2 linked regions of the Nothobranchius furzeri genome follow. The protein of the gene in region 1 interacts with the protein of each later gene in a pairwise test. Links are inferred from orthologs where the notes say so. Each region holds a gene or a part of one and is shown on either strand. Other genes may lie near its edges.

Evidence for each region.
Region 2: the proteins of sorbs3 (region 1) and suppressor of cytokine signaling 7 interact in binary tests that used the Homo sapiens proteins (3 or more experiments, as listed by UniProt). The link is inferred for Nothobranchius furzeri from reciprocal best matches to the Homo sapiens genes SORBS3 and SOCS7.

Annotation. Positions count from the first base shown.
Region 1 is NC_091757.1:39,852,656-39,864,700, forward strand, and holds part of sorbs3 (vinexin), read left to right. Parts: intron 1-3,560; 5' UTR 3,561-3,619; coding exon 3,620-3,631; intron 3,632-4,161; coding exon 4,162-4,353; intron 4,354-4,511; coding exon 4,512-4,584; intron 4,585-4,840; coding exon 4,841-4,974; intron 4,975-5,068; coding exon 5,069-5,132; intron 5,133-5,652; coding exon 5,653-5,685; intron 5,686-5,764; coding exon 5,765-5,855; intron 5,856-7,412; coding exon 7,413-7,521; intron 7,522-9,635; coding exon 9,636-9,689; intron 9,690-9,830; coding exon 9,831-9,938; intron 9,939-10,562; coding exon 10,563-10,612; intron 10,613-10,844; coding exon 10,845-10,904; intron 10,905-11,634; coding exon 11,635-11,705; intron 11,706-12,045. UniProt on the Homo sapiens protein: Vinexin alpha isoform promotes up-regulation of actin stress fiber formation. Vinexin beta isoform plays a role in cell spreading and enhances the activation of JNK/SAPK in response to EGF stimulation by using its third SH3 domain.
Region 2 is NC_091745.1:29,709,066-29,721,210, reverse strand, and holds the start of suppressor of cytokine signaling 7, read left to right. Parts: upstream 1-4,429; 5' UTR 4,430-4,650; coding exon 4,651-6,293; intron 6,294-7,586; coding exon 7,587-7,651; intron 7,652-8,093; coding exon 8,094-8,198; intron 8,199-9,836; coding exon 9,837-9,974; intron 9,975-11,579; coding exon 11,580-11,719; intron 11,720-11,793; coding exon 11,794-11,962; intron 11,963-12,045; coding exon 12,046-12,145. Other genes in the region: kpnb1 (importin subunit beta-1), read left to right, coding at 1-2, 302-416, 928-1,089, 1,172-1,172. UniProt on the Homo sapiens protein: Substrate-recognition component of a cullin-5-RING E3 ubiquitin-protein ligase complex (ECS complex, also named CRL5 complex), which mediates the ubiquitination and subsequent proteasomal degradation of target proteins, such as DAB1 and IRS1.

The sequences.
Region 1 (12,045 bases):
GCTGTTCTGTGTGAAAAAGCCTCCACCTTTAGAGTCAATCATTAACTGAGTGATTCTGCTAACTGCCCTCAACGTGGTGCCAGAAGACAAAATGATGCTAATGCACAAAGGAGCAGTTTATCGTAACGCTGTCACAGTGAGACGGATCACAAATCACCACGTTCCTGGTGGTGAGCGCTGAAGGTCAAGGGTCAGCCCTGCAGCCGTTAGTCTTTGGGGCTTCTGTAGACACCTTGGCAGTTTTATTCATGGAGGGAACAATGCATGCGGTCGCGTGTGTGTGTGTGTGTGTGTGTGTGTGTGTGTGTGTGTGTGTGTGTGTGTATGTGTGTGTGTGTGTTTGTGTGTGTGTGCGTGCGTGTGTGTGTGTGTGTGAGAGAGAGCAGAAAGTCATTGAGGGTCATCATCCTCTCAGTGAGGTCCGACATGTCCATCACAGGAAAACAGAATTTTGATGACTGAATGTTTCTTCTGCTGCTAACCTCAAACTGTCAGATGATTAGACATTTTTCTGCAGATCTCTTTCTTTTGGCTTCCTGGTGGGCTGCTAATAACAGCGGAGGAACTTCCTATTGTGGCTCACAGGAACTGAAGGGGTGTGGTGAAGTTCACTGACCTTGTAGCTACTGGGCAGGTCTGGTCTGCCTCAACAGTCTGGGTTCTCTTCCACCCTTTTAGGGAAAATCTGGCATAAAAAATCTAAATATCTCACTACAGTAGCCCATCTATTAGTCTACATCTGGGTCAGCCCTTTTAGATAGCGTCTCAATTTCCTGTAGACAGAAGTTGATATTTTAATTTCAGAATCTTTCCCATCCTCAGCTGCAGAAGTGAAAGTGTGAAATCTTGAATCCTGTTGCATATCTGAAGCAGGACATCATCTCGTTGTGGGGGGAGCATACTGGGGCCTTTTATGGTTCTGTTTCTCTTCTACTCCACATCTGATCCAGTGGTGATAATGAACCTCTCACCTTGCAGGAGTGAAGCTTGTAAATAAGAACATACGCCGTTCTGAAACTTCCTCCGGTGAGGAGACGACCCACAGAACTGGACTCTTAATACTCGATATTTCATAGAAGTTTTTCCTTATTAGGTAGGATTGTTTTTGCAGCTGTGGACGGGTTCTGTGTTGGACTTTTCTCTCCTTGAATAACGAGTCTGTTGTGACATGTGTTTGCTCGTTTAGAGGCTGCTATGTGAAACAGAACAGGCAAGAAATAAAATCTTTGATGTATTTGAAAGAGAAAAATGCTTTTCTGTCGTGTGATCAATACATTTAAACCACACCTGGTTTGCTGATTTATACACAAAACGTTGTATAAATTAAACCTTTTCAACAAGATTAAGAGCTAATAGTCATTCAAGCGCCTATGACCAATAAAGCGTAAAAAGCTAGCATTGCAAAAGAAATATGTGACAATAAATGAACCCCACTGCTAAATAGAGTTTTATAATAGTTGCGTAATCTTGCATGATCTCATGGTGAGGTCTTCAGGGCTGCTTCGGATTGAAACAACATATTTTTAGCAGAAAGTGCGAGTCAGACACATCTGGGATGTTTGGATCATGTTGCTGCGTTGGATTAAAAGCAGGATGTGATGTTTTCCGGTTATTTGTTGTTCTTTTACAGACTTTCTGTCCTTTTCATCGTGTCTTAACGTGAGACTTTTCCATCAGAATCACACAGAAAAGCACGGTGGCCAACAGGTTTGTGTTCAAACTTGCACCAATGAGGAGATTAAATAGAAAATTACCCATTCATTCATCTTGTTCATGAATGTCAACAGTCTTTTACAAATACATGTTCCCTGCTTGGTGCAAACACACATTTTTGTGGGTGAGGTTTGTTTGCAGTTTCGCTTATTGGAAACTTTTAAAGGTCGATAGGTCGATTAACATGTTTAGGCATGAAATGTTTGGTTTGTTGTTTCCTGGGAAGTGTCTGTGAGGATTAATACATGGGCTCTGTGCTGCACCGAGACACAGAGAGCGTTGGTTTTCTTGTCTTGACCATAAAGATTATAGACTCTGATTCTCAGCAGCCAACGGCACATGGAAAAATCATTAGTGCAAACTGTACTGGCCACCGCTCAGCCTGGAGTCGTAATCTGGCCCACATTTTGGTCATTGCTTTCTCACAAAGCAACAAATGTAAAGCTTTCATTGGAAGCAAGTTCCACAATTAATCAGAGTATTTTACCAGAAAAGTAATGTTTTTTTTTGTTGGTGTAACACAGACTGGGAGTCAGATGGGTCTGGAGCTGCTGATGAGGTGGGTTTAGCTGCTGTGTGTGCAGCCTCCTGCTCTGTGCAGCAAACTGAGCCTCAGGAAGGAAGTCCAACTCCAGTAGTTGGTTTTCCTCCATTCTCACTACAAAAAGTAAATAAATAAACAAACAAATAAACAAATAAATAAATAAGCAGAATTCTAGTTTGTTGCAATGGTATAAGGTTTAAGAACTGACAACTCACAAAGTTGCGCTGAAACATTTAACTGCCTTGTTTTACTGGACTGACATGAAATATAGTCACAAATGTATGAAATTGATATTTTAGAGGCCAAGTTTACAGAAAAACTATTTTTTTACGGTTTAACATGCAGGCTAAACATGAAAATAGTCTTCTTCCCCTATTTCCTGCATTAGCCACCAATGGGAAACAGACGGGGAAACGTTCGGGTCAGAAAAAGCTGGTTAGATCCACGTTAAACTGAAAATAAGCATTCATAGACTCACCCATCTAAGCTCGCAACAGGGAAGGCTGTTGTTGATTTAGCATCAGGAGAGAGCAGAGCACCTCTTGGCTAGTAGAAGCTAATCGTTAGCATTAGCAACTGCACAACGCGTCAGGACTTGTCAGAGTTGTGTTATTAGTGGAGATAAAAGATCAACGTTGCAGAGCGAATGGACTCAGTGGTGGAGTCACGTTGCTGTTAGCCAATCAGAGGCGAGATGTCCAAATCCTGCTGTGTTCTGCTCACCTCTCTTTAAGCTAACTTCCTGCAACACAAGCGCCAGAGCTTTTCTTCTACACAGAGATCAACATTCATTCATTCATACTGGATACTACTAACAATGTGTTGGAAAAAAAGTGAACTTGGTCTTCAAAGTTTTTACAACTGAAAATACTTCACGTTTTTACTGTGTATTTGCCTGACTTGTTCAGCAAAAAACAGGTCCCCCCCCCCCTCAACACACCTTTGATGCTGAAACGGGAAGTCTTGTCTGAAGTGAAATCGATAGGGATCTAATCTCTGCCTTCTGTAGACGACATTCTCCATCATCCAACCCAGATTAGAGAGTTGTTATTGGGAGTAAGAAGGCGGGAGTGTGAGTCACTCGGGTGGGTTTCTCCACCGCTGCAGTATGACGCTGACTTTTCCTCGATGGGATAACGGTTGGATGGGGTAATGGAACAGATGTTTCAGCCTGGGGGAAAAGCTGGTGTTAATCCCAAACAATGGCCACAACAGTTAAAGACCTGCACATATCGAAACTGTAATGTTATTTTCACATTTTCTTTAAACTGATTTTTACATGTCAACAAATGTGTCTTTGCAGATACTCGATGTTGGGTGCAAGAGTCTGATATCTACCATAGGAGGAAAATAAAGGATCACATGCAGACTCAGGTAAAACCGTGCAAACCGGCAATGTTAAACAAAATAAAAGACAAGCACATGCAGCTTCTGTCACAAAAACAAGCCTCTTGTGCAAGAAACAGGGAGATTTCCCCTGACCTCTGTGACCACAGAGAACCTAAGCACCTGATTCAGGAGTTGGGTTAAGTTTGTCATCAGATTGACTGACTTATGCCTCCCCAGCTCCACCTCATGTCTTGTAAACAGGAGGATTATGAGCTCATAAACAGTCCACTCAGCACCTCTGCACCTTGAACGAGGCCTTTCTGTAGCTGTGGTAGATAACGAGGGTGGAAACCCGCGTCCCACTGCTCCTGCTTTAAATAAGTTAGAGGGCCTTTTCATCACAAGCTCCCCCCACAGAGGCCAGTTGTTCTCCAGAGAATAGCAGGGCAGCTAACAAGTTCACATGACCTTTCACAGAGCGCCTTGTTTACTCGGAGCCCACAGGAGGACATGACAGCAGCAAAGTTCACCCATTGTTTTTGTTCATCCATATTTCTCATTTCCTCTGTGTGAAGCAGCAGAGTGCAGAAGTGTTCGGCCATACAAATGGCTCCCAGGCTGCTTCATCCGGGGACCCGGAAGCTCCTTCAACCCCATACATCCTGAATTCTCCAGATCTGACTCATGAAGTGGTCATCTCTCCCGGACTCCCAACTCCTCCTCTGAGTCCGTTTCGCTCGGCGAGGCTGCCATCTGGAGCTGTCAGGGTATGTGACATCCTTCAGACTGGTTTAGTGCAAAGAATTAGGAAAACAACTGCTCCTCCCTGTGGAAAGATAATGCATCACGTCTCCTACAAACAACTCATGCAGTCCAAAGTTTAGCTGGAAAACAGGAGTTATCGGGATGTTTCTGTTTACTCAAGGGCTCGGATCTGAACGGCGGAGGACCATCTACTCTTAGCTTTGGGTCATACTACGGACCTTCACAGTCACAAGGTACAAACACTAATGTTTTAATCTGTAATTTAAATTTAGAGAAACAATTAGAAGGATGATCTCAGGAACCCAGATGTGAGTTTGGAAAAGTCTACAAAAAGCAAAATGTCCAGAATTTGTGCGTTTTATTTTATATTAGTCAAACATCTGAAATAAATGTTAAAGCTGGAATGACATGAACCGTAAAAGGCGTGTAAAAACTTCAAACCTGTCTCATTCATGTTGTCATCTAAAATCAGTCACACATGTCTCTCAGTTGGGCTGTCTAATGGAGGCCAGAGCTCTTCCACGTTACCACGCAGCTGGACGCCCAGCGGGGAGGAGAGGCTCATTAAGTTCTCGGGTATCGGACCAGTGGATGAGAGCGGGATGCCCATCGCCTCCAGATCTGTGAGCCACAAATGCATCTTCTCCTTCTGCTCTTGTTTCAGCTCACCTGAATCCACAAATTTACTTTCTTTATGTGCCTGTTTTCTTACACCAGAGTGTGAACAAGCCCAGAGACTGGTACAGGAGCATGTTCAGACAGATTCACAAGAAGCCACAAGGTAAGGATGCTCCTCCTCCTCCTTCTCTGCTGCTGCAGAGATGATCCTCCTGCTTCAATACATTTACAGCAAGAAATACATCTAATATTGCAATCAAGTTTCTAAAATGTTGATTTTCATCCAGAGCTTGATTTACATATGGGCATCTGGTGGGGGGTTAGTAAGAATGAGAGGTGAGGGGTGGGGTTGTCCGTCAGATCACCTCTATTAAAACTCTGTGACAGAGAGTGCGGGGTGTTTGAGTGGTCCGTCCAATCACCTTCATTGTAATGGCAGGGGTGGGGGCTGGACCATTTTTCGGGCTCCTCCTGGGTGTATCAGTTGAGAACTTCCGGGGAGCCCTTCGCCCTTTCGGGGGAGCCAGGCTCCCCTAGCTTGCCCATAATTCAAACCCTGCTTTCATCATCTTTTCACACGTATCCTCAGAGCTCAGTGTAAAATATTATTTGGTTTCAGAAAAAGCATGTAACTAAATGACATAAAACATCTAAAAATTATCTTTTTGTTTTCTCCAAACCAGAGCTGGAAGATTCGGACTGGTGTTCAGGAGAACGTGGGTGATTCCGCCACATTCGGCCCCATTCCGCCTTGGTTAGTCTGATCATAGTTAACGTTTAATCTGGTATGACCAGCAGGGCTCCCGTCATCTGCTGACAAAGTAGAAAGTAATGAAGCCGACAAGAATCTCTTCAGACTGACACCTTATGGGTCTCTGCCAGATTGGTGAGTGTACGCAGAGTTCATCTAACACATTCAGTTTCATTTTCTGAGAAAAAAAAGATTTAGGCAGATTAACATCACAGATAAATAATAGCCTCTTAGATAAAACAAAAACCTCAGCGATAAGAGTAAAATGAAAACGATGTAGTAAACCTGGTATTTGTCAGAATTACTTGTTATGATATTTTATTCACCTTACCAACAAGTTTACTAGATTTCAGTTAAACGTCTGAAACAGACGAAGCTGCAGCAGGTTGTACTCTGCATCTTGTTGGAAGTCTCGTTCCCATGGTAACAAGCAAAAGGAGGACAAGTTGGCTGAAGAAGGAGGATAAAAAAAATTACCAAGTTGTTGACGACAGACATAGTCAGGATTTTTAAGGCTCAGCCAACGTTTGGTCTCTGTCAGTAAACACAATATTTCTAAATGCATTATGGATGTTTTTTAGTTCCCTGATGATCCATAAAGTCTGCAAATGTTCAGACTTCGGACTGATATGTGCTCAACTGTTATGATAGCTACCGTTGCTAATTAGCACACAACTAAGCTAGCCTGTCCCTGCTAGAATCATACTTTTTGAGGAAGCATTAAACAAAGATTTCAAAACTTTAAGTAATTTTTTACTACATTTTTTATCATTTAAAACAATTCTGAACCAAACAGAAGTTGCGTTTAGCTACTTTGCTGCACACAGATTCAGCTTCCCTTTACCTCAAATCCCCAAACCAGAAACCTTTAAATCAAAGTGAAAACATTCAAGCATTCATCAGCCTTTGAGTTATTGTTTCTTATGTTGCACCGTCTGTGACTGTAACTGCTCAGTGTTTAACTTAGCCTTTTTAAAATGTAATTCTGTTTGTGTATTATAAAGTGGATTTTAAAATTTACTGTTGTATGTTGTCACTGTCTGTGTATGAAATGTGCTGTTTAAATTAAGCTGCCTCACGTAATTTAACTGCACACGCATAAAAAAGAAAAATAAAATTTTAGTAGTGAACTGTTAGTGGTGCTGGCATGTTTTTCTTTTATTTTTTATTAAGAAGTAAAATTAAATGAAAAGAAGTCATTATTTACCAGGATATAGCTTGACTTGTAGAAATACCAGCAGCACTTTACAATAAATGTCCCTTCATTAACATTACTTAGTGAGTGAGTTAAGTATTAATAAAGAAAGGACACCTATATTAATGCTACCGTTATTGTTAACTATTGCGTTTCCTTTAAGTTAACGCAAAGGGACGGGGATGGTCTGCTTAATAATGCATAATAATATGTTTAAGCAGTTGTTAAAACTTTTTAAAATAGTTTATTAATGCTTAATAATGCACAAAGTAACATTAATGAAGCAACCCTTTTTGTAAAGTGTTACCAAAAAAACCAACCAAAACTTTGCCCATGTGCAGCGGAGAGTAAACGTGTAGGACGGACAAGTTTGGATCTGTTGTTACAGCACTCACAATGAAGCCGAAACTAAGTTGTGTGTGTGTGTGTGTGTGTGTGTGTGTGTGTGTGTGTGTGTGTGTGTGTGTGTGTGTGTGTGTTGGGGTGTTACCTTTCAGGAGCGAGGATGTAGATAAGCTGTCAGACCCCGGAAAGCAACAACCTCAGCCGAGGAGCATTTTCGACTTTGAGCCCGGAAAGAGCCCCACCTCAGAAACTCACAGCCAGGTACGACCTCACACGCAGTCACACGGTTTAAAAATAGACTCTAAGTCCAAAATAAAGTTCTTTTAATCTTTAAATTTCCTCAGCATTGTTGTTGGGACTTATAGGTGCAATTCTCAGTATGGTTTGTTGTCTCAGTCGGTCACGTCTTCTAGGATTATCGTCTGAGCCCTTGTTTTTCATCTTCTCGTGCAACTTATGCAGTACCTGGTAAAGACAGACAATGTTCACCAGAGGGTTCTAAACTCCAGGTGAGCTCATCCCTGTTAGTCATCTCAACAATGATGCATTCAGATTTGCAGAGAAAAAGGGACTAATCTATTGTGGTTTGTACAGAATCAGTTTTTGATGATTTCTCCCATGGTTTTGGCTTTCTGCTGTGATTTATTAGTTATTTTAGTGTTTGTGGGTTTTAATACACCCTGTGAGTTTTCGGGTTGTTTGGGAACACTGCTCCAGATCTGTGGTGCATACTGTGTCTCATCTGAAGAAGAAAATAAATCTTTGTTTCCACTCCCCCATGGGAGCTGATGTGTCTTGTGATTTGTATTATGGTGTTAACCTCTTGTGGTGTTTAATGGCTCACAGCACGGGGACTTCTTTCATTTAGTCTTTGTGGAATTGGCTGAAGCCGTATCCCCTGCATTTAGAAAAGCAGCTCACAGACCATATCAGGTGTTGTGCTGCTTCTCTGTGACATCGCTGTTTGTGCTTGCAGACGGGACGATGAAGGTTTCTGGCATTCAGAGAGACACGTTCAGCCAAGGTTCTACTAAAAAATGAAGCAGTCGTCTGCGGTTCTCACCAACAGGGCCTTTTAAAGTAATGTTCGATCGAATCAGCGGCGAGTGGTGTCAAATATGTGCAGAGAGGGAGTGAACGAGTTATTTCAGCGCTTGTTAAACAGAAAAAAATGTGCTGGTTTATACCTCAGCAGTGTTGAGTCCAAAATGTGCTTTGGCAGGCTATAGATGTTGTACTTTGACCTCTGCATTTTGGAAACTCTTATTCTGAAAGATTATTTAACCCTCTGCAGGCAGGCGTTGCAGATTTGCAACGTTAAAACCTACCTACCTGGCTACTCCACATACATGAGCATTTTTAAACTCAGAAGTACTCCTGAAGGACTTAGTTGTTCGTCCTTTTATCAAGACTTTTTTTGAGCCTGAGAGGGTAAAAAACAGCTTTTGTATGGAAACTGATTTAATTCATGTGTTTTATACCAAACACTCAGAAAATTTTAAGTTTTCACTTAAAACAAAGTCTGTTTGTGGAGTAATTTCATAACTTTTGCTCAACTTGGTAAAATTTCTGTGCCAAAAAGTTTCACGCCTAAACACCGACCTGTTGTGACACCAGAAGAAAATATACGGGGAAACACTCAGATCAGAAAAAGTCATTCAGATCTACGTCAAATAGCTGTCATGGACCCAGCCACCTGGGCTCACAACTGGGAAAGGCTGTTGTTGATTTTCACATCCAGGAGAGAGCAGAGCTCACCTCAGCTAGTGAAGCTAATTGTTAGCATTAGCAACTCCTTCATGTTTGAGTTATTTATGGAGATAAAACATCAGCGTTACAGCGCAAACTGAGTCAATGGTAGAGTTGTGTTGCTGTTAGCCAATTAGAGGCCAGATTTCCACATAGCATGAATGATAATGAGTGAAATTCCAAATCGCGTCGGTTTTCAGCCCCCCTTCCCTCCAGCTAACCTTTTACTTCCTAAAACAGGAGCGCAAGAGCTTTTTTCCACAGAGATCGACTAAGGCATGCACTCATAAACCACCTAATAGTTCCGGAGCATGGCCATGTCTGCAGCTCACCGCTCCCCACGGGGATGGGTCAAATGTGGAGGATAATTTTCACCACACCACACCAGTGTGTGTGACATGTGTATGGGACTTTAATTTAATCTTTAATAATACTAAAAACCAATGCAGATTTTTGAAAAACAAAAAAACAAAAACAAAACAAAAAAAAAACACATTATGTCCCGCTTTAAGGCCACAATCAGTTTATTTCTCTTGTTATCTTCTTTTTCCATTTGGTGCAACAACATCACTAATGTTTAGCTCTAAATCTGCTTCAACTGTGTTCTCTTTTTTCTCTTCTTTTAGACTTTTTTATCCCCAAAGACACAACCCGAGAAACCCAAGTCCCCTTCCATTGAGGTAAGCATCCACAACACAATTTCACGTAGAATTATTTTGTTGACTTTATGAATATTAAAAGTAAACGAGGGCCACTTAAGCTCCAGAACCCCTGCTCTAGCTGTGTTTTATTTATTCCAACTCTTTAATTGCGGGAGTCAGGCCAGTCTGGCGTCTGAGCTGAGTCGATTCGAGGCTGAGCTGGACTCGGAGATTCAGGGCCTGGAGAGGACTCTTTCCCAGAAGAAGCAGCGTCAAGGCCGGGGTGAGGTACTGAGCCTCCCTACCGACTCTTTCTGCCAAATCACCCCCTCTATCTCACCAATCTAGCAGAATTCCCACCCACTCCCGTTCCCTACCCTCCCAGTGAAAGCTACGTGTCAATGAGATCCCTTTGCTTGCTAGCTGAGAACGTGAACATTCTTCTCTTTGACTGCCTGAGAATGGCCTGCCTGCCCTGCACTCAGATTGATCTTCTCTCTTAATCGCCCTCCTGACAGTTCCCCACAGCAAATCTAGACCTGGCTGCCAAAAGAGCAAAAGATAAAAACATAGTTTCCTTTAGATCATATACAACCATAGTGCTGCCTGCTCCTCCTCTTCCCTGCTCCACGGGAACTTTCCAACAGCTCTGATGTCATGTTTGATGTTTCTGTGACAGAACCAGCCTCCTAGGGTTAGCATGAAATCACAGACAGCTCAGACAGATCATGAGCCGTGTTGCTGCAAGCTCGAGGAGGATAGGACCCTGGGGATTTCTTTGCTCACTTGGGAGTGGTCAGCAGCACCTCTACTTTGTCTGAGTTGTTGTGAGATTTCCTCTGAAGTATGAGATGCAGAAGGCTGAGTGGTGCTGCAGAGAGCAACGTCCTAAAGGGTTCCCTCTGCTTACAGGAGGCCAGAAACAGGGATCCAGATCCCACTCCAAAGACTCCCAACCACAGGTTAGTTGATCTACACCGTACCATTTCAATGAAGCTATAAAGATCAAGTTATCAGCTTTTCATCACCTTTTAGTCCAATTTTTCTATAATTTATGAGTATTTTAGTTTTAGAGTGAGATAAATACTTGTGTTCTACGCTTCTCTCTTGTGCGTTTGTCTAAAACTGTTTTATGGGAGGTTTACACCATTGTGACAAGCTGATCCTGTTAATGTGATTCATTCTTTTCACTAGAATACAAACAAACGTGCATGAAGCAAGGCTGCAACTGAAACTGCAATCAACTATAGAGAAGTAGATGCTCGATAATCCATAAAGTTTGCATCATTTAAGCATAAAGAAGCTGAAAAATCAGGGTTAAGCCGCCCCCACCCTCCCCAGTCCACTTTCATGTTGCATCGTTGTTTAGTTGAAATCACAGCAGACCTCCTGCTGATTCAGGAATCCAAGTGTTATAGTTGTGTGTTAGATTAATATGTGACTTAGTGTTGGGCAGCTGTCAGGTAAACAAATTAAGTTTCCACTAACTCATTTCTCACCTTGTGTGTAATGCATTCCTGAAGAGTTCATGCTGCTGTTTGCTAAACTGAGCAATTGTTTCCAATCCTGAGGGGATTTCACTAAGAATGTGTAAATTTAAAGCATGTAGCAGCTACGATTCTTCTGTCCGCCTGCCAAACACTGAAAAACAAAAGGAAAGCTGGAATCTGTGGGTTAGGAGATAAAGCTCAACACAGAAACACACCTGTTCCTGGTCATGAATAGAGCTTCATGAAGCTCATTGAAACAAGATTTCCAGTGAAAAAGGATAAAATCTTGTCTGATAATTTGTTTCTTCTCCATTCAAAAATATCAAAACCAGCTGCAAACAGTTGATGTACACTGTAAAGCTGAGGGAAAGTGCCGGATGCATCTATTCCCTGCTGTATTCAGCCTTTTTTTGCTCTTAGAAAGTCCTCCACTGGACCAGAAAACTAATAAAACCTCAAAAGTTAATTTATGTCTATCTTTTTCACATTTTCAGGAATTTGCCAGCATCAAAGCAGCCTGACCTGCATTCTGGTGGCCCATTAATAACATCTGCTCCTGCACATGGTAAGAAAACAACCTCTTTATCTGTTTGGATGTTTTTCTCTGTGTAACTGTCTCCCTTCAGCGACCATCCCACTGATCTAATACGTTTGATAAAAGCATCGAGTAATCTAATATTGTATGACGGTCTCATGGTTTGGCTTTGTTGCTGGTGGTGTCTTCTGCTCTGGTGTTGCCCTCATTAGACCGTTTTCCCTTCTCTATGGAAACAGCTGTAGATGGGTGGGGAGGAAGCTCACAAAAATAGGAAGTGAAACTCGGAAGAACTGATTGAAGATTAACTTCATCCCGTTTCTTTCCCTGGAAATGTAGCATCCCTAGAGCTTTTGAACTTGTTCTGGCT
Region 2 (12,145 bases), on another chromosome or scaffold:
CCGTAAGAAACACACCACACCAGTTTAGTGGTTCTGGTCTACGCAAGATGCAGAATGGGGAGTTTTTGTTGAACATGTGCTCCAATCATTCGACGTCTGTTCCTCTTCCTGTTTGAAGTCCAACAGGAGGATTTTATGATGTCGTAGAGAAACCTGGGTCTTTTTCACCTGGAAAGCTTCAGGCTGCAGCCAAAACCAAAACCGCTTTCTGGTTTTGCGGGACCCAACAAACCAACCAGCAGCTAAAAATCAAAGTCACCAACGGCTGCCCCCTTTCTTGTATGTCTGTTTTGTCCTGCAGCTGACGTGATGTTGGTCCAGCCTCGTGTGGAGTTCATTCTCTCCTTCATCCATCACATTGCTGAGGATGAAGATCACTCTGATGGGGTTGTGGCCAACGCTGCTGGACTCATTGGGTAACAAACCAGCTCCACATTTCAATAAAGAACACAGGAAAAAAAACGTTATTTTTATTGTTAATATTTATTATCGGCAGCAGCAGATGGGTCTGACTCTGTACGGGGAAAATGGCATCAGATTCGAAAGGTTAAACCGACAGTAGATCAGTGTGACCTGTTTCAGTTCTGCTTTCAGTACTGAGACCCAGATTGAATAGAAACAAATGTTTTCTCATTAAAGCTATGTTATAGTTGCATTTATTGCATCAGAACCTTTAAAACAAACTAGTCCTTACTGTCACTGTGTTTCTGATCTGCATGTCAGTCCATGTTGGGACAAGTGGGTGGAGCTTAAACTCACTTCTAAATAGAATCGGAGTTGGAATGTTTGGTCAATGAAGAGAAATCATGCACCACGCTGAACGTGTGATGTATAACCCAACCACAGCTTCTGAGACCAGCAGCCAGCTGTAGTCATAATCAGCCTGTCTTTGTTCCCGTGGTAACCAAAAAAATTGTTTGTCTGCAGCGACCTGTGCACGGCGTTTGGTAAAGACGTGATGAAGCTGGTGGAGGTCCGTCCGCTCATCAATGACCTGCTGACAGAAGGACGGCGCTCCAAAACCACGAAGACCAAAACCCTGGCCACCTGGGCCACCAAGGAGCTGCGCAAGCTTAAGAGCCAGGCCTGGTGAGAACAAACCAATACCACACCATGCTTCCTGGAGCGTAGCAGGTGGCTGCATCTGACCCTGGTGTGTGTCTGGTTCCAGATTGTTCCGGTCCAAACACAGAATGACGTGAGATCGATGAACTTTGAGGACAAATGGTTGTCTGGAATGACTTCTTCTGCTGCGCCTGCTGAGTCGGAAGAAATGACGTGATGAAGTGAGATGGATGAATGTGTGTGAGCGCTAGATATGACATCACACCACCTTCAGTTCCAGCTGGCGAACGAACCCCATCCCCTTTACCCCTCTCCTCTTCCTGGACGGCCTGTGGACTGGACTCTTGACGCCCCTTAAAGACTTAAACCCCTCCCTCTAGCCCCTCGTCCTCCCACAACCTCTCGCCGTGTAGCTGGGCCCTCCCATGACATCCTGATGATGTCACTGCCCCACCGCTGCCTCGCTCACACCGGGGGAGAGGGGGAGGAGGGGGGTGATCCTTAAAGACTTTGTGGAATCGGATTAACAAGCGACTTTGTGGACTTCTTCTGTGGAAAACTTTAGATTTTTGTTGCTCTTATTTTTCTTCTTCTGAGCACTAAAATGGCAAAGGAGACGCGACTGAGTGCGAGCGCCTCCACCTGCTCCGTCTCCAGGGATCTGACGCTCTTATCCAGCAGCTGAAACCCTTCAAAGTAAAAGCTCAGTGCTAAGGAGCGAGTGCCAAATGGAAATAGTTTAGCTGAAGCTCTGGAAGCCAGCGCTGTGAGCTGCTTCAGACGGATGTCCCCGCTACACTTGGTTTGGGAACGGGTCACTCACCGTTTTTGCTTGTTTAAAAGATTTCAGAGAATTGAAGACGTTTGTATAAGGTTATATTTTTCCATTACTTAGATGAAAAATAACGCTGAAAACAATAAAATGGTATGAAACATTCCCCGAGCAGTTCTGGTGATTTAGCTCTTGTCTGGACTTCTGGACTCTTTCTGGACTCTTGATTGGAAGCTGAACTCTGGCCACCTCCCACTGTTGGTTCGTGTACTCAACGCCACTAAGAACCATGAATTTTTTATTATTTTTTTTCCTAACATTGCGGCTCATCAGCGCTCCTCGCTGCTGGAACGCTGGGTTCAACTGGTGTGAAATCACAAAGCTGTGAGCACGCTCGGTGCAGTCTGCTTGCCTGAAAGTGAGAGCTTCAAACTTTGGGGGAGAGCTTTTATTTTGTAGAGGTGCAGTAGCTGTAGGGAGGATGCACTTCCTGTGTTATGACCTTGGCAACTCGATAAGAACTGAATTGTGAATCATTAAAAGCCGATCTGCTTTTTATTTCATATTAAACTTTAGTGAATTAATAAAGTCTATATCGTACTGAACCATCTGCTGCTTTTGGATCTAACGGATCTGAGACCAGTTGCTGTTGAGCCAGACTGGAAAACCTCCGAGGTTAAGTGAGCAAAAACAATTTTCTATTGTCAACGATTCTTTTTCTTAATGAACTTTGGAAGAAGAACCAAGACAGCCGTACCTAAATGTTGAGTGGACATGTTAAAATAACATTCCTCAAACCAGTAAATTAGTTTGATAACAAATCTTGGGTCTGAATTCACCTGGGAACCTCAACCCAGACCCATACTCCAGTTCAGTATTTTTAGGGAATGTCATCACTTGTGGCTTTACTTTTGTAAATAAACAGAAGCTCCCATGTTTCTACGTTACTGCATAGTGCTGCAGATTTTTATACCAACATTTCTTTCACTCAAACAGTAACCGGACGCATTTGGTGTTAATTCAGTCTTCTCTGAAAAAAGGTGACCAAATAAGCGAGACACTGGTGTGGTGCCCTTTAGTGTCCGCTTGCAGAAACCGCTGCAACTAAATCTGTTTTCTTCTCTGAAACAATGAGCAATTCATGTTGAGGCTGTTAATTTACTGTTTGTTTTGCTAAGCTTAGTTGATTTGGATGGTTGACGATTGTTGGGACTCCGGAGGTTTAAGGCTCCATTCAGATAAGCCACTTCTTGGTGAATATTCTGAACCTATCTATTCCCCTTGAATCTATCTGAAAATAATTGGTGTGTCAGTTCACTTGGCTCAAAGTTGAGTTCACACACAGCACAGCAAAATAAAATAATTTGTAAACCAGTCATAAATGACCCCCAAAATTATAGAAGCTGATGTAGTTGTATAAAACAATACAAGTCCAGTTTGTTTAGTAAAAATTGTTTTTTAGAATACAAAAATGTTTAGGGCTTGCTTTATCAAAATGGCATTTTATAATTGCACTGTAATAAATTGTAGGCCTGAATAACTTAAAAACAAAAGTTCAACAGCTGCCTTAAAAAGTTGAGTCATGTCAACTTAAATGAACTCTGTCAAGTTGTACAAATTTCATAATAACTATGCTTTGTTTGAATATTATGTTGAGTCTAAACAACAAATCTTATTAGATTACAAAGTGGAAAAATCATTTTGTTAAAAAAGCACACAATTCTACATTATGTTAACTTATAAATTTGAGTTAGACATGTATGGTTGCAAATTAAAAGTTTTTGTTAACTGAACAAATTGATTAATTGTTTAAACTCGTGTTATCAAAACGGCAGCTGTCATGCCAATACAGGCAAACGGTGAAGCAGGAAGCTATCAACACTGAAAAATGCTGGCTAACTCACCCTCATACACAATACAAGGAGCTGAGTTCTGAGCATTTACCGAGAATTACAACTTTACTTAGTGCAGTGGAGGGAAATGGCACAATGATCTTATTCCTACGACCGCCCTCCTTTCAGTGCCAACACAACAAATAACTCCACCTTTTGAACACTAAACAAAGCAAAATCTGAGAACAACACAACCACCCGCAATAAATGTGCCTAAATACCTCAAATTAGAACAAAATAATTAAGAACACAACTACCCACAATGCACCTCACCCACTGCCGCTTTCACAGTGGGCGGGGGCATTTTTTAATCTATAAATTGCAGTTTTAAGTTGACTGAATGCAGTAGAATGAGGAAAATATAATCATTTGTTGAAATAACAAGCAATTTTAAGTTTTCAATATTAAAACATAAAATTGAGTTTAACAATTAAAACTTAACAGGGAGACTAGGTGAAATAGGAAAAAAATTTAAACAACTTTTTGAGGCTCTTTTTACAGTGTACAAACCTTACTATTATTTTTTTTATTTGATAAAATCATTTTTGTTATGATAAAATAATTACAGTAGTAAATGTGAAAATAAAGCCATCTGTACATACCAGTTGATCGCAGCTGATCAGAACTACGGATCTGAGCATCGGTGATCGATTGACTAATCGATTACTGTCGCCGCCTGCGCAGCTCCGCTCCCCGCCCTGCTCTCCATCACATCTCGTTGTCTCACCGGAGGATGGGTCTACTGGAGGCTAACGGCTAACCGAGCGGGCTTCTCATGTCTCTTCTTGTTTTGGTTTCGTCCAGCGGAGCCGTTACCATCCCGAACCGGTCCGGACTCGCCGTGTCTGTGTCCCGGAGCTCCGGCGGGGAGATGCAGGAGCTGTTATGTAAGAGCGGAGCAGCTAACGTTAACCCGCCGCCATGAATGACGCGCAGCAAGAAATGTCTCCGGACTTCGTCCTGATGCGGCTCGTTTCCGCCGCTGAATACGACCGGCTGGACGAACCCGACGACCTGATCCGGTCTGTAGGCGGCGGGTTCGGGCCTGTGAAAGCAGCGCTGGGACACCGTGGTGGCGGGTTTGATCTGGACCCCAGCGGCCCCCCAGCAGGCCTCGGATCCGCATCCCCGCACTACAGCTCGCCTCTCCCCGGAAAAGGTGATCTGGACGGCGGGCTTGTGTTGACGCAGGCCCCGCCAGGTTCTGAGGCGCCGCTGTCCCCGCCACCGGAGGACTTTACTGTCGCGGCACAGCGGTTTGTGGACGGTTCGGGAGGACATGGCTCCAGGGCGCAGCTCATGGTGTTTCAAAACCTGCTGCGGTCCGGAGACCGAATGCTGGAGATCGGACTGGAGCCGCCACCTGCGGGGTACCTCCAGGAGGAGGCAGAGAGACAGAGACAGCAACTAGACCCGGTACCAGGTCCTGGGAACACAACAGCTGGTCCTGGACCTGGTGGAGGAATGGAGCAGAACTCTTCCTGCATCCCGTTAACTGGCGAGACCCTGCAGCCACCACAGCTCCTGCAGTGGCATCCAGTTCTCAGACTGTCCAAAGGGTCCGACGGGCCCCAGACCCCTCAGCAGGTTCCTGGGCTGGACTCTGTGCCCGGCTCGTTCCTGTGCCACAGATATCAGTTGGCTAAGTGGCCTCCGGGCCTGCTGGACCAAGCACTGCGCCTGGGACTACTGGAACCCAGGAAGACCTGCTCATCAGGGGGCGAAGACCCTGTCCTGGTTCTTGCTCAGAGGCTGGGGCAGCTGGGAGAGGTAAGGGAGGGTGTGGGAGGTGGGGGGGAGGACACGGAACCCCCCATCCCTCGCTGTGCCTGCCACAGCATTCTCACATCTGGAGGACTTGGTGAAGACCCAAGTGACACCAGTGATGCCCTGCTGGTTCTGGAGGGACTGGGTTCTGAGGAGGTGGGTGGACTAGGCCAAGGAGAAGGCAGGGAAGGGGAGGAGGCTGGGAAAAGAGGGCAGGTAGAGGGAGTTAGTGGAGGGGGGACACCTGGGGGGGCAGGTCCTGTGTTCTCTAGTGGGACCCTGAGTGGTCTGATGCAACAGGTCCACAGACTTGCTGAGGAGGCGGGGGTCTGCACAGACCAGAACTGCCGCTCTGCTGTCTCACCCCCCATCAACACCACTACCACCTGCCTGTACCCCCTGGTCCAACCACAGACCCCCCCACCTGCTACAGCAGCCCTCAGTGGCCTTCACGTCTCCCCTGACCCAGGTCCCCGCCCGCAGCATCAGCACCAGTCCCGGTCCCAGCCCCAGAGTCGCGCTGCCCCCCCTAAACTTGGTGTGGCCTCCGGGGGAGCTGGGCAGTCTGTCTCACCTCTGGTGGTCCTGGAGGGTGAGAAGACTTCCCGAGGAAAGTCAAGAAAGGGGGAGTCCCTTAAAGTCCGGCTCAGCAAGCTGTTCAGAACCAAGAGCTCCAGTGGGGGGTCGGGGGGACTGCTGGACAAGAGGCCATCACTGGCATCCTCCACCTCGTCTGGGGGAAGCCTGTTGGACGTGTGGGGTTCCACCTGCAGCAACATGGACCAGGACAGCAGCAGGTAAGATCCCTCGGGTGCGGGTCCAGTCTGATAGCTCCGACCTAGTGGATTGATTACTGAAGGTATGCAGGTTCAGTCCAGCTTCATAATAGATGTGTATCAGTCACCATGACAACCACAGCTTACTGGCCCTGAAACTAAACTAAAGTTGGAAAACTTTGACCTAAACTGATTTATAAAAACACCAGACATGTGAAACCATCACTGGGTTCTCAGCATGTTCTAAAGTTCTGTAAACGGTACAAGACACAAGAACTAGAACCCAGAAGCAGTAAGGTCCGTCGTTACTTGGTCCGGAGGAATTCAGAGTATCAAGATCAGCTACTGTTGCTGTGGGAGGGCTGATGCCATTTACGGGTGGGTTATCTGGGGTCCATCATTCCAATACAGGTTCACTAGAGGTCAGAGGTCATCGCTCAGAGAAATGACTAAAGACCCACAAACTCTGAGACTACAGGCCTCAGCTGGTTAAAGGTCATGACAGCTCACCTCATGCTGGCAATGTTTCATCTGAATCAACCTAATACAAAATGGAGAAATTCACCCACAATGCACAGCAGCAAAAACAGCAGATTCCCTCTGCCAAACACGGTGGTGGAGATGGTGTGGTCTGGTTCTGCGGCCCCAGGACTCGGGTCTACTATGAACTCCTCTGGGCACCAAAATATTTGAGAGTCTAATCTGAGAGCATCAGTCTTACAGCTGATGCTTGGACTGAACCGGGTCATGAAACAGAACCATGATCCAAACAGCAGCAGATCTACAACCGAATCTGGGTGCTGTGGTATGACCTTAAGAGAGCTGAGCACAACCAAATATTTGTAAACTCTAATAAGGCTGGGCTAGTACTCCAACAGAACCACATGAGAGGCTCCTGCTGGACCATGGGGTGGACCCAGTTATCTAAAGCTTCTGGGTTCTGGTTAAATATTTGAATGTGTCCTGTCCATGCCTGCTTCTCTCAGATCAGCTCTGATCCGACCCAAACTTCTTCCAGTTCCTGCACAACTGTTTCTACATCTGTTGTCATGGAGACCCACATCCCCTCTGCTCAGCAGAATGAGAAAGAGGAGGTGTTGTCATGGCAACAACATCCTCTCACTCAACAGAGGAAACTTCTGTGTGCTGAGATGTAGCTTGTCTCCATGGCAACAGCTTGGGAGTTTTTTACTGAGTGGCTTAGGGTGGGCTTTGGAGCAGACTCAGGTGTGCATCAGGTGGGCCTGTGATGTTACACACTGGTAGCCATAGAAACGTAAGTTGACACCTTGTTGTTGTTGCTGTTTGTCTCAGCAGGCTGCAGGTGTCACGACCTCACAGTGCCTTCTGCCCGGTGCCGCTCACCCCTGCTTTCACAGGTGAGTCCACGTGCACAGCTGTATGTGTGTGTGCATGTGAGTGTGTATACAAACATAAACATTCACCAGGAGCTGGAGAGCAGAAACCCAGTTCCAACGGACCAGTAAGATCCAGTCATGAAGGTTTCATGTGAGTCCAGCCTGCTTCAGACCCAGAGATGTGGGACTCTGGTTCAGTTCTGGTGCAAGCGTGAAAAGCAGAACGGGTTTCATGTTGAGTTTTAGAGAAATCTATCCCAGATCAGTGATCTGGTACACAAACCCCCAGACAGACTCAGGTCCTCTCCTGTGATGCTGATGAAGATGTTGAGGTCTTCCTCTGAGGTTCTTCTTCTGGTCCTGACTTTGTCCCAGCTCACATCTCCCCCCCCCCCCCCCCCCTTTCACTAACTCTTCCTCCTTCCTCTAACACTCCTCTTCCTCTGTCTCTGGGTGTGTCCAGGTGAGACGGTGTCTCTGGTCGATGTGGACATTTCTCGCAGGGGGGGGGGCTGTCTCCACCCCCCCACGCCCCCTCCCCCACCCAGACGGAGCCTCAGTCTGCTCGGTACTTCCTTTTCTTCACTTTCTGTTCTCCCTTCTGCTTTCTTTGCTTCTGGTTTCATGTCTTCGTTGTCAGGTAGGACTTTAGTTAAACCGGTCCGGTTCTGATCCACCGTGTGAGTTTTGGTGCCAAACGTGTTTCGATGTCTCTGTGATGAAATCTGAGTTGTTTTTAGAGGAATCGTTTGTGTTTTAAGGTGCAGGATGAGACATTTTTTGGACCTTTTTTTGCCTTATTGCTTGAAATTGTTTCACGTACCGATGGCAACCATTCAAATGTTTTGTCGTAAATAAATAATTGTAATTACCTCTGAAACTCACAATCCTGGGAAACCTCCATCCATTAGTCATCAATGTCCTGTGTAGTTAAAGTAACTTCCCAGGCCTCTGCAGCAAAACTAACAATCACACAAGCTTGGAGCGCACTGACTAATCAGTTTGCGTATCCACAACAGAGAGCTGTCACTCCACGAGAATGCGCCCCAGTTCCCAGCATGCATTGCAGGGTGATGCGGACGCCTCTGTAAGCTTAGCACACCAATCCTAGCTTTTAATAAAGGCCGTTCTGTAAACTTCGCTAACTGAAAGAAGAGGGAGAGGAACAGAAAGGGTTTGTCTTTTGTGCATCAAAGCTAAGTGTTAGCGTAGCCTTCAACAATCGTTCAGCCCCGTCTAGCGTTAGCAGGGATGGGCTACACTTGTGTGTGCCGGATTCTTTCTGGTGGGAATCATTTAGCTGTGAATCAGGAGGAACTGTCCTTTATTAGCGCTACCAGGCTGTGTGTGTGCACGTGTGTGGTATGAGGCTGAAGGGAAGCAGGAGGAGGAGCTATAGTCACTCTAATTTCAAAATCTCCTCCTCTCATTTATGATGTCACGCTATGGACTCCTGCTTTAATAAATGATCATGTCCCATCCTCTGGTCGTTCCTCTCCCCTCTGTGTGCACCAATCACACGTTCTCAGCTTGAAGCAGCTGATCTGAAGCTCTTTTAGCTAACTTCACTCATTGAATGGTTTTACAGGTATGCTGGTGCCGTACCTTAGGAGTTAAGCCGAAAAAATGTTAACAACTAAATGAAAGCTTAAAGCTACTTGAAAAGGCTACGGCTACAAGAAAAAGCTGAATTTGAACAATGGCGTCTGCTGAAGAGCTACAAACCGATGCCACATCGGCTGTTTCCTCTTGATAGGTGACATAATGTTGTTTTCATGGCTGTTTGACAGTCTCTGCTGCGTCTGGTATTCTCCTGGATTCTGGAGGTGTGGCTTAGGGGAGGAGCCTGAAAAAGGGGGTTGGACCTTTTGAATTGTGTTTTTTTTTAATGTAGCTTGAACAGCTGTTCTTCCAGGATATCCTCCACATGTAAGTTGTCTGTGCAGGATCAGAAACCACCTGGCAGTCCGACCGGCATCGGTGTGTGTGTGTGTGTGTGTGTGTGTGTGTGCGTGCGTGCGTGCGTGCGTGCGTGCGTGCGTGCAGGGGGGATTTGGTGGAAGTTTTACTTTTGAGCTACTCATGAATCTGCAGATTAATGACGCTGTGGACCAGCTTGAGGTTCAGGTTGGTCTCTGAAGATGGGAACAGGAGCACTTATCTGTCCTCCCCCATCAGGTGTGTTTGTGTCTTTGTGAACCTTCAGATGATTTTGGAGGTCCTCCTCAGCAGCAGGGGTCCTTCACTGAGCGGACCGGAGGCGCCTCAATGCAGTCTCTGCCCCCCCGACCGATGGCACTGCCCTCTTCCCTCAGCACCATCCAGCACAGCCTGAGCCTCAATGGTAAGAACAGATGGAGGTCCTCTCAGTCGGGTCTGATTGTGTGTGTGTGTACTTTGGGAGGTTGTAGAACTCTAGAAGGCCCATTTACCTTTTAACGAACAAACATATTACAGTGTAATAGACCCGATCAGGAACTCCTGATCCGGTCCTTGTCTCTGTTTCCCTCCAAGCAGCCAGACTGTTCTCTAATCAGTTATGGTGGTTCTGGATTAACAGTTCTCCAGACTTCTTGAAAGTTCTGAACTTGATCAGGAGTTCTGGACTGGATCAGGAGTTCTGAACTTGATCAGGAGTTCTGGACTGGATCATGAGTTCTGGACTGGATGAGGAGTTCTGGACTGGATCATGAGTTCTGGACTGGATCAGGAGTTCTGAACTTGATCAGGAGTTCTGGACTGGATCATGAGTTCTGGACTGGATCAGGAGTTCTGGACTGGATCAGGAGTTCTGGACTGGTTCAGGAGTTCTGGACTGGATCAGGAGTTCTGGACTGGTTCAGGAGTTCTGGACTGGATCATGAGTTCTGGACTGGATCAGGAGTTCTGAACTTGATCAGGAGTTCTGGACTGGATCAGGAGTTCTGGACTGGATCAGGAGTTCTGAACTTGATCAGGAGTTCTGGACTGGATCAGGAGTTCTGGACTGGTTCAGGAGTTCTGAACTTGATCAGGAGTTCTGGACTGGTTCAGGAGTTCTGGACTGGATCAGGAGTTCTGGACTGGTTCAGGAGTTCTGGACTGGATCAGGAGTTCTGGACTGGTTCAGGAGTTCTGGACTGGATCATGAGTTCTGGACTGGATCATGAGTTCTGAACTTGATCAGGAGTTCTGAACTTGATCAGGTGTTCTGGACTGGATCAGGAGTTCTGAACTTGATCAGGAGTTCTGGACTGGATCAGGAGTTCTGGACTGGTTCAGGAGTTCTGGACTGGATCAGGAGTTCTGAACTTGATCAGGAGTTCTGGACTGGATCAGGAGTTCACTGGTTCAGGAGTTCTGGACTGGTTCAGGAGTTCTGGACTGGATCAGGAGTTCTGGACTGGTTCAGGAGTTCTGGACTGGATCAGGAGTTCTGGACTGGATCAGGAGTTCTGAACTTGATCAGGAGTTCTGGACTGGTTCAGGAGTTCTGGACTGGTTCAGGGGTTCTGGACTGGGTCATGAGTTCTGGACTGGATCAGGAGTTCTGAACTTGATCAGGAGTTCTGGACTGGTTCAGGAGTTCTGGACTGGATCAGGAGTTCTGAACTTGATCAGGAGTTCTGGACTGGATCAGGAGTTCTGGACTGGTTCAGGAGTTCTGGACTGGATCAGGAGTTCTGAACTTGATCAGGAGTTCTGGACTGGTTCAGGAGTTCTGGACTGGATCAGGAGTTCTGAACTTGATCAGGAGTTCTGGACTGGTTCAGGAGTTCTGGACTGGTTCAGGAGTTCTGGACTGGATCAGGAGTTCTGAACTTGATCAGGAGTTCTGGACTGGTTCAGGAGTTCTGGACTGGATCAGGAGTTCTGGATTTAGCGGAGATGTTCTAAGCATTCTGAACTTCTGGGTTTGTTTTTTATAACTACATAAATTCTGTGTAAAATAACGGATCTTCTTTCTCAGACACCTTTCTTCGAGGTCTACCCAGACCGGTACCTCTACGTCCTGACGGGCAGAACCTCCCGCCCCGACTCGCCCCACGCTGCCCCCTAAGCAGACCCGACACCGGCAGCTTTGCCACCAGCCTCAGAGAGCTGGAAAAGGTGGGCGTCATCTTCACGCCCGGGTATGTGATTGTGAGGGGGCGGGGCTTACTTGTGTATGTGTGTGTGTGCAGTGTGGCTGGTACTGGGGTCCGATGAACTGGGAGGACGCAGAGATGAAGCTGAAGGGGAAACCGGATGGCTCGTTCCTGGTGCGGGACAGTTCGGACCCCCGGTACATTCTTAGTCTGAGCTTCAGGTCTCAGGGCATCACGCACCACACGCGCATGGAACACTACAGAGGTACCACTCAACCAGAACCACCTGGTTCTATGTGGCCCGCTGTGGGGCCTTGTGTTCATGCTGTCTCCGTCCCTGTCCTGCAGGGACATTCAGTCTCTGGTGCCACCCAAAGTTCGAGGACAGATGTCACTCCGTGGTCGAGTTTATCGAGAGAGCCATCATGCACTCCAAGAACGGGAAGTT